Arabidopsis thaliana: one gene and its partners. The protein of the gene in region 1 purifies or fractionates together with the protein of each later gene. This does not show direct contact. Each region holds a gene or a part of one and is shown in the gene's direction. Other genes may lie near its edges. The genes, in order: AT1G57660, AT1G18540 and AT5G27850.

The links.
Region 2: the proteins of AT1G57660 (region 1) and AT1G18540 fractionate together in Arabidopsis thaliana (co-fractionation; one large-scale study listed by BioGRID). This does not show direct contact.
Region 3: the proteins of AT1G57660 (region 1) and AT5G27850 fractionate together in Arabidopsis thaliana (co-fractionation; one large-scale study listed by BioGRID). This does not show direct contact.

The regions. Positions count from the first base shown.
Region 1 is NC_003070.9:21,353,051-21,357,658, forward strand, and holds AT1G57660 (Translation protein SH3-like family protein), read left to right. Parts: upstream 1-2,424; 5' UTR 2,425-2,516; coding exon 2,517-2,753; intron 2,754-3,056; coding exon 3,057-3,314; 3' UTR 3,315-3,587; downstream 3,588-4,608. Other genes in the region: AT1G57650 (ATP binding protein), read left to right, coding at 1-490, 1,142-1,261; AT1G57670 (Toll-Interleukin-Resistance (TIR) domain family protein), read right to left, coding at 4,119-4,608.
Region 2 is NC_003070.9:6,376,447-6,381,054, reverse strand, and holds AT1G18540 (Ribosomal protein L6 family protein), read left to right. Parts: upstream 1-2,474; 5' UTR 2,475-2,506; coding exon 2,507-2,763; intron 2,764-2,972; coding exon 2,973-3,079; intron 3,080-3,167; coding exon 3,168-3,349; intron 3,350-3,451; coding exon 3,452-3,607; 3' UTR 3,608-3,798; coding exon of another isoform or gene 3,799-4,272; 3' UTR 4,273-4,416; downstream 4,417-4,608. Other genes in the region: AT1G18530 (EF hand calcium-binding protein family), read right to left, coding at 3,799-4,272.
Region 3 is NC_003076.8:9,871,122-9,875,729, forward strand, and holds AT5G27850 (Ribosomal protein L18e/L15 superfamily protein), read left to right. Parts: upstream 1-1,945; 5' UTR 1,946-2,047; coding exon 2,048-2,050; exon of another isoform or gene 2,051-2,216; coding exon 2,217-2,306; intron 2,307-2,399; coding exon 2,400-2,528; intron 2,529-2,749; coding exon 2,750-2,932; intron 2,933-3,017; coding exon 3,018-3,176; 3' UTR 3,177-3,852; downstream 3,853-4,608. Other genes in the region: AT5G27860 (uncharacterized protein), read right to left, coding at 3,947-4,039, 4,141-4,197, 4,280-4,324, 4,524-4,586.

The DNA.
Region 1 (4,608 bases):
TGGTAAAGAAGTGCCTGCGTGCTTCACTTACAGAAGTCATGGGAGTTCCGTATCAGTGAAGGTTAATCAAAAGCTTCTTCATACGTCAACCAAATTTAAGGCTTGCATCTTGTTTGAGAACGAGGTCGATAATGAAACTTATTATTTTGATTTGGACACACTTTGTGTGTATACGAAGACGAATAAGGATTGCATCTTGTTGGATAATAAAGGTGAAGATGATGAGGTTGGTATTCAGAAACGAGGGTTGGTGTCTTGTCGCATCGGTTCCGAATGGCGTTTCTCTGAATGGTATCCATTTATAACGGATCATCTATACATTTTCGAAGTTGAAGCAAAGGAGGTGACTTCCACAGAGCTTATTTTTTATTTCGAGATATTCGATGAGTATTCCAAGGCTAGGGAGATAAAAGAATGCGGGATAATCCACCTCTTGGAACATCATGTTGACGACGAAGAAAAGATGGATACAATTGAGAAGGAACCCAAGGTTCACATATAGCAATATGCATTTGTCAAGTGCGTTGATTCTTTTAAAAATGGCTTGAGCCACATGTTTGCACATATCACTATGAGTCTATGTTTGAATGTTTAGAAAATATTCTACAACCATTAAACTTCTTCTCTAACATTTATATATTTCCATTTTCTTACATGTTTTTTTAGAGGATAAGGACAAAGAGATTCATGGTTATGCATAGTTATATGTGAGGCTAACATGACTCTTTCTGAGTATATAAGCTATATGTGAATCATGGGTTCCTTCTATTTTAGTATCTTGATCAGTCACTATTGTTATCACTATACTGTAGTCGGAAATTTTCAAAAACTTTGAAGTTGCTATCGATATCTCAAAATGCGTTAAGTCGAGGAAACGTATAGGAGCTAGAACCAACCTGGATGCTAAGGAGATCTGCGAGACAATTCAGTAAGCTCTTTTTGCTTGCACACATGTTTTATATGGATACATAATACTCATACATAAAACATATAAACAATAATACAAGTAATGTCGATTATGGTAATTTTTTTCTAACCATTTCTATATCATATTACCATTCAAGAATATAGGATAATGACATCGGGGTTGAATCACATTTCCATTCATATTTCTAGCTAATCACATCGCTCTTGACCTCAGATCTTAATCGCACCTAAAATGGATTGCCATTCGGAGCCAATGCCACTGGGAAAATGCATTGTGGTCTATGGTCTACAGATTGTTTACTTGAAACAATACATCTTATATAGGTCAGAGTGATCCATGGATGTCTCTTGTTCAAGAATACTCTATACCTTTTCTCTGCTAAGAAAAAACTTTCCTTTGATTCCTTTTTTTGTTTTAACTGTTAGTGTAACTGTGTAAGATTTTATTCTTACGTTACTATATAACTAGACAATAAGGTTCCCGTTATGAACTAAATTCACATGGAGAAATGAAATTGATATTATTTGGAATAACTTTTTGAGTTTTATAGAGCTTAATCCGGTAAAAAAAAACAGAGGGATTTTAGGATTGTTGTGAATTACATACTAACTTTATGTCCAAATCTCATATTTTGCTCGCATGTAGGGAGTTTTTTTGTAATTAACAAATAGTAGTAACAATATCAAATGTTTTTGTATTCTTGTAAAATTATTTGTTTAGTTTGTTTAAGAAACGAAAGGAAAAATTGAATATTAAAGACCTTTTTCCAAAAGTTTGTCCATCTATATTTTATATAGATAATAACTTTGGTGAGATAGATTTAAGGAAAATTAAAAACCAATTATACTCTTAACTATAAAATGAAATAAAATATAGAATTGAAAAAAAATATGATTCTATATCTCCAAATCCAAAAACCCTCACAAGAATAGAGGCTTACTTCTAAACCCCAATATAAATTTTCAACATAATTTGTCAAGGAGCCTTTTACATTAACGTTGATTTGCAGCATAATTGTTTTTTAAATATGAAAAGAGCATGGAAGGAGGATGAGAAAAAAACACTAGTGGAAAGGAGAAAAGAAAGAAAATTAATTGTTTAGGTTATTATAAGAGAGAATCTATTTTGTATGATTTTTACTTCTAAACTAATCAGAATACTTATTCTAAATTACGTTAGAAACACAATAAATACATAATATTCACCATATATTTGATTACTTATAATATCTTACATAAAGATTTAGTAAACCGAATAAAACACAAACAAGTTTCAGTTTAAGAAGTTTAGTTAAAATTTTAATATTTTACTATAACCAAATTAACTAAACCGAACCAATTCCAAACCGAAATGCACACAAAATTAACATACCAAACTTTGTGCCCAAATTATACAAAATGTAGGGGTAATTAACAAAACAATTACGTACCTCCCCTTTTAACTCCTCAAATCCAATGGGTATTTACAGATCTATGGCCCAATCAGGCCCATTTATGAAAACCCTAATTCACTTTATAAGTGTCATGTTTTTTATCTTAACAATGGCTTCTCTAGGGTTTCAGCCACCAGACTCAAACAGAGAGTGAAAATGCCGGCGGGACACGGAGTGAGGGCGAGAACAAGAGATCTGTTCGCGAGACCATTCAGGAAGAAGGGTTATATTCCACTCTCCACTTACCTCAGAACCTTCAAGGTCGGCGATTACGTCGATGTCAAGGTTAATGGAGCTATCCACAAGGGTATGCCTCATAAGTTCTACCATGGTCGTACTGGTCGCATCTGGAATGTCACTAAGCGTGCCGTTGGTGTTGAAGTCAACAAACAGGTGTTGATTACTCAAATCTCTAATCTGTTTGGAAAAGTTTTGATTGTTGAAATTAGGGTTTGAATGTGATTTTGATTCTTTCATTTGGGGTTTAATTCGTCTTTGTGTGAGCTATCTGTTTTGAATTCTGAGATGTTGGATTGGTATTGGTTCGAAAGATTCAAGCTTTTCTTCTTGGGTCCTTCTTTTGCTATTTGTATTAGTTGCAATCAATCTACTATGATTCTTATTTTTGAAAGCCTTCTCTTTTAGTTTATTGTATTTCTTGGTGGGCTAATTATGTGTTTGGGTTTGGTTTTATAGATTGGGAACAGAATCATAAGGAAGAGGATACATGTGCGTGTGGAGCATGTGCAACAGTCAAGGTGTGCTGAGGAGTTTAAACTCAGAAAGAAGCAGAACGATGTGCTTAAGGCTGATGCTAAAGCCAGAGGAGAGACTATCAGCACCAAGAGACAGCCTAAAGGTCCTAAACCGGGTTTCATGGTCGAAGGTATGACATTGGAGACTGTCACTCCCATTCCTTACGATGTTGTCAACGATCTCAAGGGTGGTTATTGAGTTTTTTCCATTTTATTATCATTCTCTACTCAGAATTTTTGCACTTGCTTTTTTAATGATGTTTTTGTATCAATTAAGACTAATTTCTATATGGTATGAAAGTGCAATTCAGATTTTGTTATTAAGATTGCTTATCATAATCATTTGCTTATTGCATTTGTTTGTTTCTGAAATCATTTATGCATCCTTAGTTAAAACTGAAATGTTTATCAGTAAATCATATAATGCTAGTATCATAGTATGAGACATTTTGATTGTTGTTGAGTAGTCTTTTGTTACTACACTCCAAGGACAATAACCATTGTTTTGATGTGGGATTAATAGAAAACAGTTCCTTGGTAACATAATTACAAACCAAATGTAGAAAATACAAATGTGATATCGTCTTAAACTCGACTCACGATTTCAAGACACCAAATGTAATGCATTTCCACAAAGGAACAATGTTTCAATTCAAGGTTGTGTACTCAGCTGCCTAAGCCAATGGTTACAGTTCAATCTCCAATATAAAAGACATTTTTGTCTGACACTGATTCAGTCTTCTTCTAGCTTTCATTTCAAAGAAACCATCTGCATAATAAAGCAACCGTTGCTCTTCTAATTGTAGATTAGTTTATTCCTTTTAATCCATTAAAACTACATCAAGAAACTGAAGCAAATTTTATTTATTTCCATTAGCAATTGAAGCCACAAAAAACAAAGAGACGAAATCGATAACAAAAGCTCGCTCAGACATGCTTACCTGCCCAACGGCTCGAAATAGCCACAAAACACAAAGAGACGAAATCGAAAACAAAAGCTCGCTCAGACAGACTTATCAGCCCAACGGCTCGAAATAGCCACAACAGAGCCAACTTGACTAGCAAGAATAACCATGGTTGGTGAGGCACACTTGTGAACAATTTCATTTAGTAAGCCGAGCACTGCACCAACCAGCTCAACCGCAGAGCCAAACCATAACCATGGCAGAGCCAGTGGAACGTAAAATGTTTTCACTTTCTTCACACAATCATCTTCTCTTCCTTCACCAGAACGAACAGTGTTAATGATGCCAAGCACTGAACCAATCAGCTCTACCGCCGAACCAAACCATAACCATGGCAGAGCCAGTGCAATGTTAAATGTTTTCACTTTCTTCACGCAACCATCTTCTTTTCTTTCATCAGATTGAACAGCCTTAATGAGTAAGCCGACCACTGCACCAATTAGTTCAACCGCCGAGCCAAACCATAACCATGGCAAAGCCAGTGGAACATTAAGTGTTTTCACTTTCTTCACAAAATCAGCTTCTCTT
Region 2 (4,608 bases), about 15 Mb from region 1:
AGAAACAAGCTAAAGGTTTATAATTTGGAGTTAGATCTCTGCCGTGAGGATAGAGCTACAGTTGAAAACATGATTGAGTTGAGGAAAAGTTTATTTCGGATACCAAACTACGCGGAAATATTCTAGTGGCTAAGGCGGGGTGTTTCCTCTCTGGGAATATGCCAAACTATTAGAGTTATTTTGAAAAATTATTCACCTCTCCCTAAACTGGGAAGCAATTCCTTATCGAATAAAGTTTCATTTTGGAAACATTAGAGTAGCGATGTTGCATTAAACCCATATAAGGCCCATTAGGTTTTATTTTTGCCGCTATCGTCCTTATATTTAAAAACTTTCGACTGTCAATTAGGGTTTACGCCACTAAGAGATGCTGGCGGCAAAACAGAGAACTCCCAAAATTAATATAGAAACTTTATTTTAAAATATATAATATATAAAATTTTGTATGTTGTAGCATGGGTCGAGATACATATGGTTTTATATGGTTTTAATTTATATAAAATAAAAAAACTGTACAAACCAATCGTAACCAAATCGAATTACATACAGTTTCTATATGGTTTTAGTTTTTATAAAACCAAAACTAAACCTAACCGAAACCAAACCAAACCAAAAAAATTGTACCCCTATCCCTATAACAAGTAAATATTTGTATTATGTATAGAATGATTAAAATTGTATTATAAAACAGACAATAATCCAACTTTAAATAAATATTTAAAAATTAATTTTTCTCCGTGCTAAACCAAAACAGATTATGATCTAGTGTATACTTTATGATTCTTTTTCTTATACTTACGTTTGGTGTCGTGTATTGTGTTTTTTAAAGCTATATAATACGTATAAGATATAATTGTAACTCTTACTTTATGTATTATATGATGATTCAAAACAATTTAAAAAGTTAAACAAATATGATAGAAAAGTCATAATTTTAAACTTTAATCAAATATTCTAAGTTTTAACTATGTATATTGTTAAATATGAAATATCCGGTGTAAGAGTTGGATTAAATATAACTTATCCAACAAAATTTTTATGAACAAAATTGTTTAACGGGATGGATACCATTTTTATCAAGAAAACACTTTTACTTACCCGCCAAATAGTAAGTACAAAAATACTTCATGTAAGGCCCAATGTTTTGCAATAAAAACACTTTGGTACTAAAAATATCGAGACCCCCATATTAAAGTTTTCTAAACCATATAAGGGCCCATTAGGTTTTTTATTTTCTGCTATCTAAAAGCTCAATTTAGGGTGTTTAGAGCTACAATGGATGGAGTTGAGGAAAGTTTACTTCGGATACCAAACTACGTCGGAAATATTCTAGTGGCTAAGGCGGGGTGTTTCCTCTCTAGGAAGATGCCAAACTATTGGAGTTAGTTTGAAAAATATTCACCTCTCCCTGAACTGGGAAGCAAATCCTTATCGAATGGAGTTTTCTTTTGGAAGCATTAGAGTAGCAGTGTTGAATTAAACCCATATAAGGCCCATTAGATTTTATTTTTGCCGGTATCGTCCTTATATTTAAAAGCTTTCGACTGTCAATTAGGGTTTACGCCACTAAGAGATGCCGACGGCAAAACAGAAAAATCCCAAAATTAATATATAAATTTTATTTTAAAATATATAATATATAAAATTTTGTATGTTGTAGCATGGGTCGAGATACATATGGTTTTATATGGTTTTAATTTATATAAAATAAAAAATTGTACAAACCAATCGTAACCAAATCGAATTACATATAGTTTCTATATGGTTTTAGTTTTTATAAAACCAAAACTAAACCTAACTGAAACCAAACCAAACCAAAAAAATCATACCCCTATCCCTATAACAAGTGAATATTTGTATTATGTATAGAATGATTAAAATTGTATTATAAAACAGACAATAATCCAACTTTAAATAAATATTTAAAAAATAAATTTTTCTCCGTGCTAAACAAATACAGATTATGATCTAGTGTATACTTTATGATTCTTTTTCTTATGCTTATGTTTGGTGTCGTGTATTGTGTTTTTTTAAAGCTATATAATACGTATAAGATATAATTGTAACTCTTATTTTATGTATTATATGATGATTCAAATCAATTTAAAAAGTTAAATAAATATGATAAAAAAGTCATAATTTTAAACTTTAATCAAATCTTCTAAGTTCTAATTATGTATATTGTTAAATATGAAATATCCGGTATAAGAATTGGATTAAATATAACTTATCCAACAAAATTTTTATGAACAAAATTGTTTAACGGGATAGATATCATTTTTATCAAAAAAACACTTTTACTTACCTGCCAAATAGTAAGTACAAAAATACTTCATTTAAAGCCCAATATTTTGCAATAACACACTTTTGCACTAGACCCCCATATGAAGCCCATATTAAAGTATTCTAGACCATAAGGGCCCATTAGGTTTTTACTTTCTGCTATATAAAAGCTCAATCTAGGGTTTATGTCTCTGATAGATTTTACACCACCGAAGCCGAAAAAATGCCGGCGGCGAAGAGGACTCCCAAGGTTAACCGTAACCCTGACCTAATCAGGGGAGTTGGAAAATATTCGAGGTCTCAGATGTACCACAAGAGAGGTTTGTGGGCTATCAAGGCCAAGAACGGTGGCGTTTTCCCTCGTCACGATGCTCAGCCAAAGGTCGACGCTCCGGTTGAGAAGCCTGCCAAGTTTTATCCGGCGGAAGACGTCAAGAAGCCGCTTGTTAACAGACGCAAGCCTAAGCCTACCAAGCTAAAGTATTTATCCATCTTCTTCTTCGATTGGTTTTTAATTTTCATTTGAGTTTGATTCCGCTAGATCTAGTATTAGAATGGTTTTGGATCTACTGGTGATATAAGAGAGACCATACAAATTGTTAGGATTTTTAGAAATGTAGGATTCCTAGAGATTATGGCTATGCTTCATTTTTGATATGAATATGGTTTTGTTTATCTCTGTGTTGCAGAGCCAGCATCACTCCAGGAACTGTGTTGATCATTCTTGCTGGTAGATTCAAGGGTAAGAGAGTTGTCTTCCTCAAGCAACTTTCTTCTGGTTTGCTTCTTGTAACAGGTGAACTCTTATCTCTCGATGGTGTTGGTTTGATTGTTCAATTTGGAACCTATGTTAATGTTTGTCTTTGTTGATTTGGTCATTTCAGGACCATTCAAGATTAATGGTGTTCCATTGAGACGTGTTAACCAAGCCTATGTGATTGGAACCTCCACAAAGATTGACATTTCTGGAGTCAACACTGAGAAATTCGATGACAAGTATTTTGGAAAGGTTGCTGAGAAGAAGAAGAAGAAAACAGAAGGCGAATTCTTCGAAGCTGAGAAAGAGGTATACAATCATCTTATGGATATTTGGTTTTATCCAAAAATGGTTATTATGTGTTTTCTTGTCTTTGTACCATTACCTAATTGAAAACTTTGGGTTGAACAGGAGAAGAAGGAGATCCCACAGGAGAAGAAGGAAGACCAGAAAACCGTTGATGCTGCTCTGATCAAATCCATTGAAGCTGTCCCAGAGCTCAAGGTTTACCTTGGAGCCAGGTTCTCATTGAGTCAAGGAATGAAACCACATGAGCTTGTTTTCTAGATTTCGTATTGTTTCTCAAATTTTAAGAATATCTGTTTCCCTGAGTATTTTCATCTTTAATCGTCCTTGGATCTTAAAGACTATTTTCTCTGATTTTATATATCAAATTTTCGAGCAATCTAGCTTTAAGACCTGGTGTTATGAATTCGATTTTCTATAAAAATGAATAAATGAAAAAGCATAAGAAATGATCACGAATTAATTTTTAATCCAAAGTAATCAACAGCAGATTTTGCCATAATTGAAGCAAACTCTCCAAAGCTTATAACACCATCACCATTTGTATCAGCTTCTTTGATCATCTCCGTTAATTCTTTATACGTTAATGGTTGACCCATCTTGGCCATTGCTCCTGCAAGCTCAGCCGCACTTATGAACCCGTTACCGTCTCTATCGAACGATTTGAAAATCTCGAGTAATTGCTCGGAATTGATTAGGACCTCTTCGTTAAGATCAGGAAGAATTGTACCAACGAGCTCATCGAATTCGACAAAACCGTTGCCGTTTGAGTCCATGCTAGCTAACAAAACATGGATTTGATCGCCGGAAGGTTTGAGACCGAGTGACCGGAGAAGTGCCGCGAGTTCTAAGATTGTTAAGCTTCCGTCTGCGTCCATGTCGAACCGGTCGAAAATGTCTTTAAGTTGTCTTATCTGATCCTCCATTTTTTCTTTCTTTCTTTAGCAACACAAATAAAAATCGATTAATCAATGTTGGCGACGAGAGAGATTGATGAGACAAGAGGTTATGATTGTCAATGAAGGGTGTGCCAGAAAGGAGATTTAAGATTGAAGTTTTGTTTCTTTTTGAGCACGTAGAATTTAGAATTCTGGATCTTTTCTATGTTTTAATGTTTTGTTTGTTCTTTTCTTTTTCGTTGGTTTGTTAATGGTTGCTGATAAAAATAGATAAGACCACATATTTTTTTTTTGTTTGAGTTAGATTGGTACTGCTATTGAAATGTGAAAATTCATAATGATTCTTTTTGCCTTTTTGGTAAA
Region 3 (4,608 bases), on another chromosome or scaffold:
AAGTCCGCTATTTATTAACGTTGCATGAGGATACAAAGGTTGAGACAACCGGACGACTTTTACCATTTTGGCTAATGTGGCGTATTTGGAAGAGCCGAAATGATTTAGTCTTCAACAAAAGAGCAAAGGATACAACTGATATAGTCAAACAAGCGTCCCTCGACACAAAGGAATGGCTAGATAACATGCGACCCCCAGAAAGAAATACCCGAGACCAACTATCATCTACATCGAGAAAGGCTAATTGGCAAAAGCCTCCAGTAGGATGGGTCAAGTGTAACTACGATGTCTCTCACTATGAAGGAAAGATAACCGCGGGTCTTGGCTGGATCATCAGGAATTCACACGGCACATGTATGGACTGCGGAATGGGGAAATTTCAAGGACGCCAAACAATTGAAGAAGGAGAATGTACTGCACTCATTTGGGCTATACAATGCGCATAGGGACTTGGTTATAGGAAGGTAATATTCGAGGGTGACAGCGTCACTGTTACTAGTATCATCAATAGCATAGAGCCCAATCCAAGATTACGACATTATCTTGATTTCATACATCAATGGCGTAAAGCTTTTAACTTCATCGAGTTCAAATTCCGACATCAAGAAAACAACGTCTATGCTGATGTCTTGGTCAAGACAGCTACCAAGAGTAATACAAACTTTGAGTTATATCGAATATGTCCTAGGTTTTTATAGCCGTTTGTATACAATGATGTAAAACATTTGCATTGATAATAATATTGGAAGGAAAAAGAAAAAAATCTAAACGAAATAAAAAATATTAATTCTATATTTCTAAGTAAACTCTTATTCATTATGTTTAATATTTTGTTACTACATTTATACTCTAAAACTTCAAAAAGTATTTAAGTTAATTATCTTATGCTTTTGCTGATAAAACAAAAAGTAAGAAAATAATTCTATAGGATTTTGTTTACTCACAAGTGTAAAATAATTCTTTATGTTTTGTAGTCAATTTTAACAAACTTTAATTACAATGAAGTAACTAACGTCATTACATACACATCTTGTACAAAAAAGAAATATCAAATCATCTCTCTCTTAACTTTATTGGATGAAAGTTCACATCAACAAAACAAACAATAATTATTAATAATTTGTATGTAGTAAAATCTTATAAATACAAAACTGTAAAGCAAACTAAAAATTATGGAAGTAAGAACATATCAATTATTATGTCATGTTAAAACCGATTGCACCATTTTATTGTATCTATGAACATCATCTATTAGTTTTTTTTAGCTGGCAAACAAGATCCTAATTTTTGTATAAAACTTTAGCAATAATGCATTACAAAAACCTTCTGATTGTCATAAAAGATTAAATTAAGAAATAAGAATGAAGACTAGAGAGAATAAAACTCGAAACAAGAGTTTTCTTATTGCTTTCTCTTTCTCTTCTCTTTTTCTCTGTTTTCTCTATATCTTATAAATGAATGAAATGAGTTATATATAGTAGAGCTTACTTAGCTAGGAAGTAAATTACTTAGAGAATAGTAATGGATAAACATCATCCATATCTTAAAGATGAAGTAATGGATAAACATCATCCATATTTTAAGAAGGAAATAATGGATAAACATCATCTATATCTTAAGGAAGAAATAATGGATAAACATCATCCATATCTTATGGATAGAGATGAATGATGGATAATGACATCCATACTTATCCGGTTTATAACACTGATCAAAATAATACCATTATTCTACGTTCTCTAATCGTGAATCCTCATAATTGAGATATACAGTTTTATTTTTTCTGAAGACAATAATCTACACTTAATATACTTGAATAAAAAATTTATTTGTCTTACCATAAAAAGAAAGAGTAAAATATTGATTTTGATCTCAACAAAATCATATAACCGAAGCCGAAGGATGTGAAACAAATGGGCTTCTAGTTTGGGCCCAAATAGCCTAAAGCGAAGATAAAGCCCATAAAAACCTAAAATGTAAGCGAGCTTGCTTGTTGCTCCTATAAATTCATAAACCCTAACTTCGTTTTCCTCTCGCAGACGCAGCCATGGTAAATTCTTGATCTCCGCCTCTCAATCTCCGTTTCTTATGTATTACAAAATGAATTCTCCGTTTGCGAGCTTGATCTAGTTGGTTTAGCGTGTAATGGTTCCTTAGGTTTCTGATGTTTCGTTATGGATTTGCATTTGAGTGTTTTATCGTTGTTGTTATTTTAGGGTATCGATCTTATCGCAGGAGGTAAGAGTAAGAAGACCAAAAGGACTGCTCCTAAGTCCGATGATGTCTACCTAAAGCTTCTCGTCAAGGTAACAAATATTGACATGTCTTTTACTTATGTTTCTCTGTCTGTTACATTTTGGTTTATTGAGATTTGTTTGTGTTTTTGATAAATTTTGTAGCTTTACCGGTTTTTGGTGAGGAGATCTAACAGCAACTTCAATGCTGTGATTCTGAAAAGGCTTTTCATGAGCAAAGTCAACAAAGCTCCTCTTTCACTCTCTAGGCTTGTAGAGTTCATGACTGGCAAGGTTCGATCTTTTTGAGACCCATCTCTCTTTATATACATCTTGAGTCTGTCCTTGGTCTTAATTTGGAACCCCATTTATTTTATTTTCATTCTGTGAAGTTATGAGTTTTGACGTTGTCCTGTTATGTTAGTATGTGAGAACAAATGTACAAACTTGATTTTGTATCTTACTATTCAGTGATGGTTAGAGTACTCAAATGTTGTGGTTTGTCTATTTATTAGGATGACAAGATTGCTGTGTTGGTTGGAACTATCACTGATGATTTGAGAGTTCATGAGATTCCTGCCATGAAGGTTACTGCCTTGAGGTTTACTGAGAGGGCTAGGGCTAGAATTGAGAAAGCTGGTGGAGAGTGCTTAACCTTTGACCAGCTTGCTCTCAGAGCTCCATTGGGACAGAACACAGTAAGTAAAATTTTACACTATCTGAATGTTTAGGATAATTCAAGTTTATATATGAAACTGAGCTGTGTTTGATATGTTGTGACAGGTTCTTCTTAGAGGACCAAAGAACTCGCGTGAAGCAGTGAAGCATTTCGGACCTGCTCCTGGTGTGCCACACAGTAACACTAAGCCATATGTTAGGCATAAGGGAAGGAAGTTTGAGAAAGCTAGAGGAAAGCGAAAGAGTCGTGGATTCAAGGTCTAAGAAGATGTTTTCTGGTTTCGTTTTGCTTGGTTTAAGTATCGAAGTTTTGGTAGGGAACGCTGGTTCCTCTTTACCCTGTTCCAGACTTTGTTTTAAGTTCTGTTTTTCTATTCTCAAGACAATTGGATATTTTGCTTTGTCTTTTAATCTTACTACTATTAGCTGCAATGAGATTTTATCTAGAATTTGGATTTGATCAGTATTTGGAGTTCATAGTATCATTATGGTCTATTTCGTTTTGTATTTCTCTTCCTTGGAAATAAAATATCTGTACATGAGTATTAAAATGTGTAAACAACCCTGAAAAATGTTCTGTTTCGTACTAACCCACCTAATTCGTTGTCTATTAGGTTCTAGCAAAAATCGTATATCCATAATCATAATGAAGCTTGTCAAATAAGAACGCATCAAGTCTTCTCAGCACAAGTGGATGTAATCCAACAACATTGGAACACAGCTCCATGGTAACAGGAGATGGCTCGAAAGTTCCATACTGAATCTTGCAAGTTGGAAATGGTTTTAATGTACGCACGGATAAAATCTCAGTAACCATTTCTCGGGTTTCCAAGAAGAACAGTGTGCGATAACACAAACTTTAAGACTAAACAAGAAAATAGAAGTAAAACAAATCCATGACAGGATTAGTCCTCTGGAAAAACAAAACAAGGATCTGAATCACCAAACAGATACGGAAACTAGAATCTAATCAAATACCATCTTACATTCTTCTTGTTGTTGAGATTCTGTCATCGAGACAAAAGCGAAAAATACTAGTCGAAACTTGCGTTTAAGAACTTAAGCAGTTCATTTCTTTTGCTCTCTGCAGCTTTGTCCTCTTTGGACTTGTCAACCTTCAGCAGAATCTATAGCCAAACACATCAGAAGAAGGAAGTGAGAAAAGAAAACAGAAAATAGTTGTGTAGGGTGTAATATTAGACAACCCTAAAGAGAGTCTCAGACTAACTTTTTTCCCTGAAACAGCACTTCTACGTTCACCATCGTCTTTGTCGCGGTTCAAAAACTGAATCATGAAAGAAACTGAATCATAAAACATGGACTTCATATAAACTTTAGATCTTTATGGGTATATATAGCTATAGTACCTTTGATAGTTTTACAGGCCCGCTACTTCCTTCTCCTTCCCCTTTCTATACAACACTCACATTGCCAGGACCAAAAAGATAAACACAAACAAAACGAAGATAACACAAAGTCCCCAGTTTATCATGTCACCAACCCCAGCTCCAATTTCGAAGAGGCCACAGAGAAAGGCAAAAGAAGTATTATAAGAAACTTGTTATCTTGATGAGAATCTATTCAAAGCGTAATGAGAAAATAATGGCCAACCTTTCTTTCTCTGTTCTTATGCCGTTTATGACGATGACTCTTGCTTCGTTCCTTATCCTTAGCCTTTAAACAAAAAATGGTACTT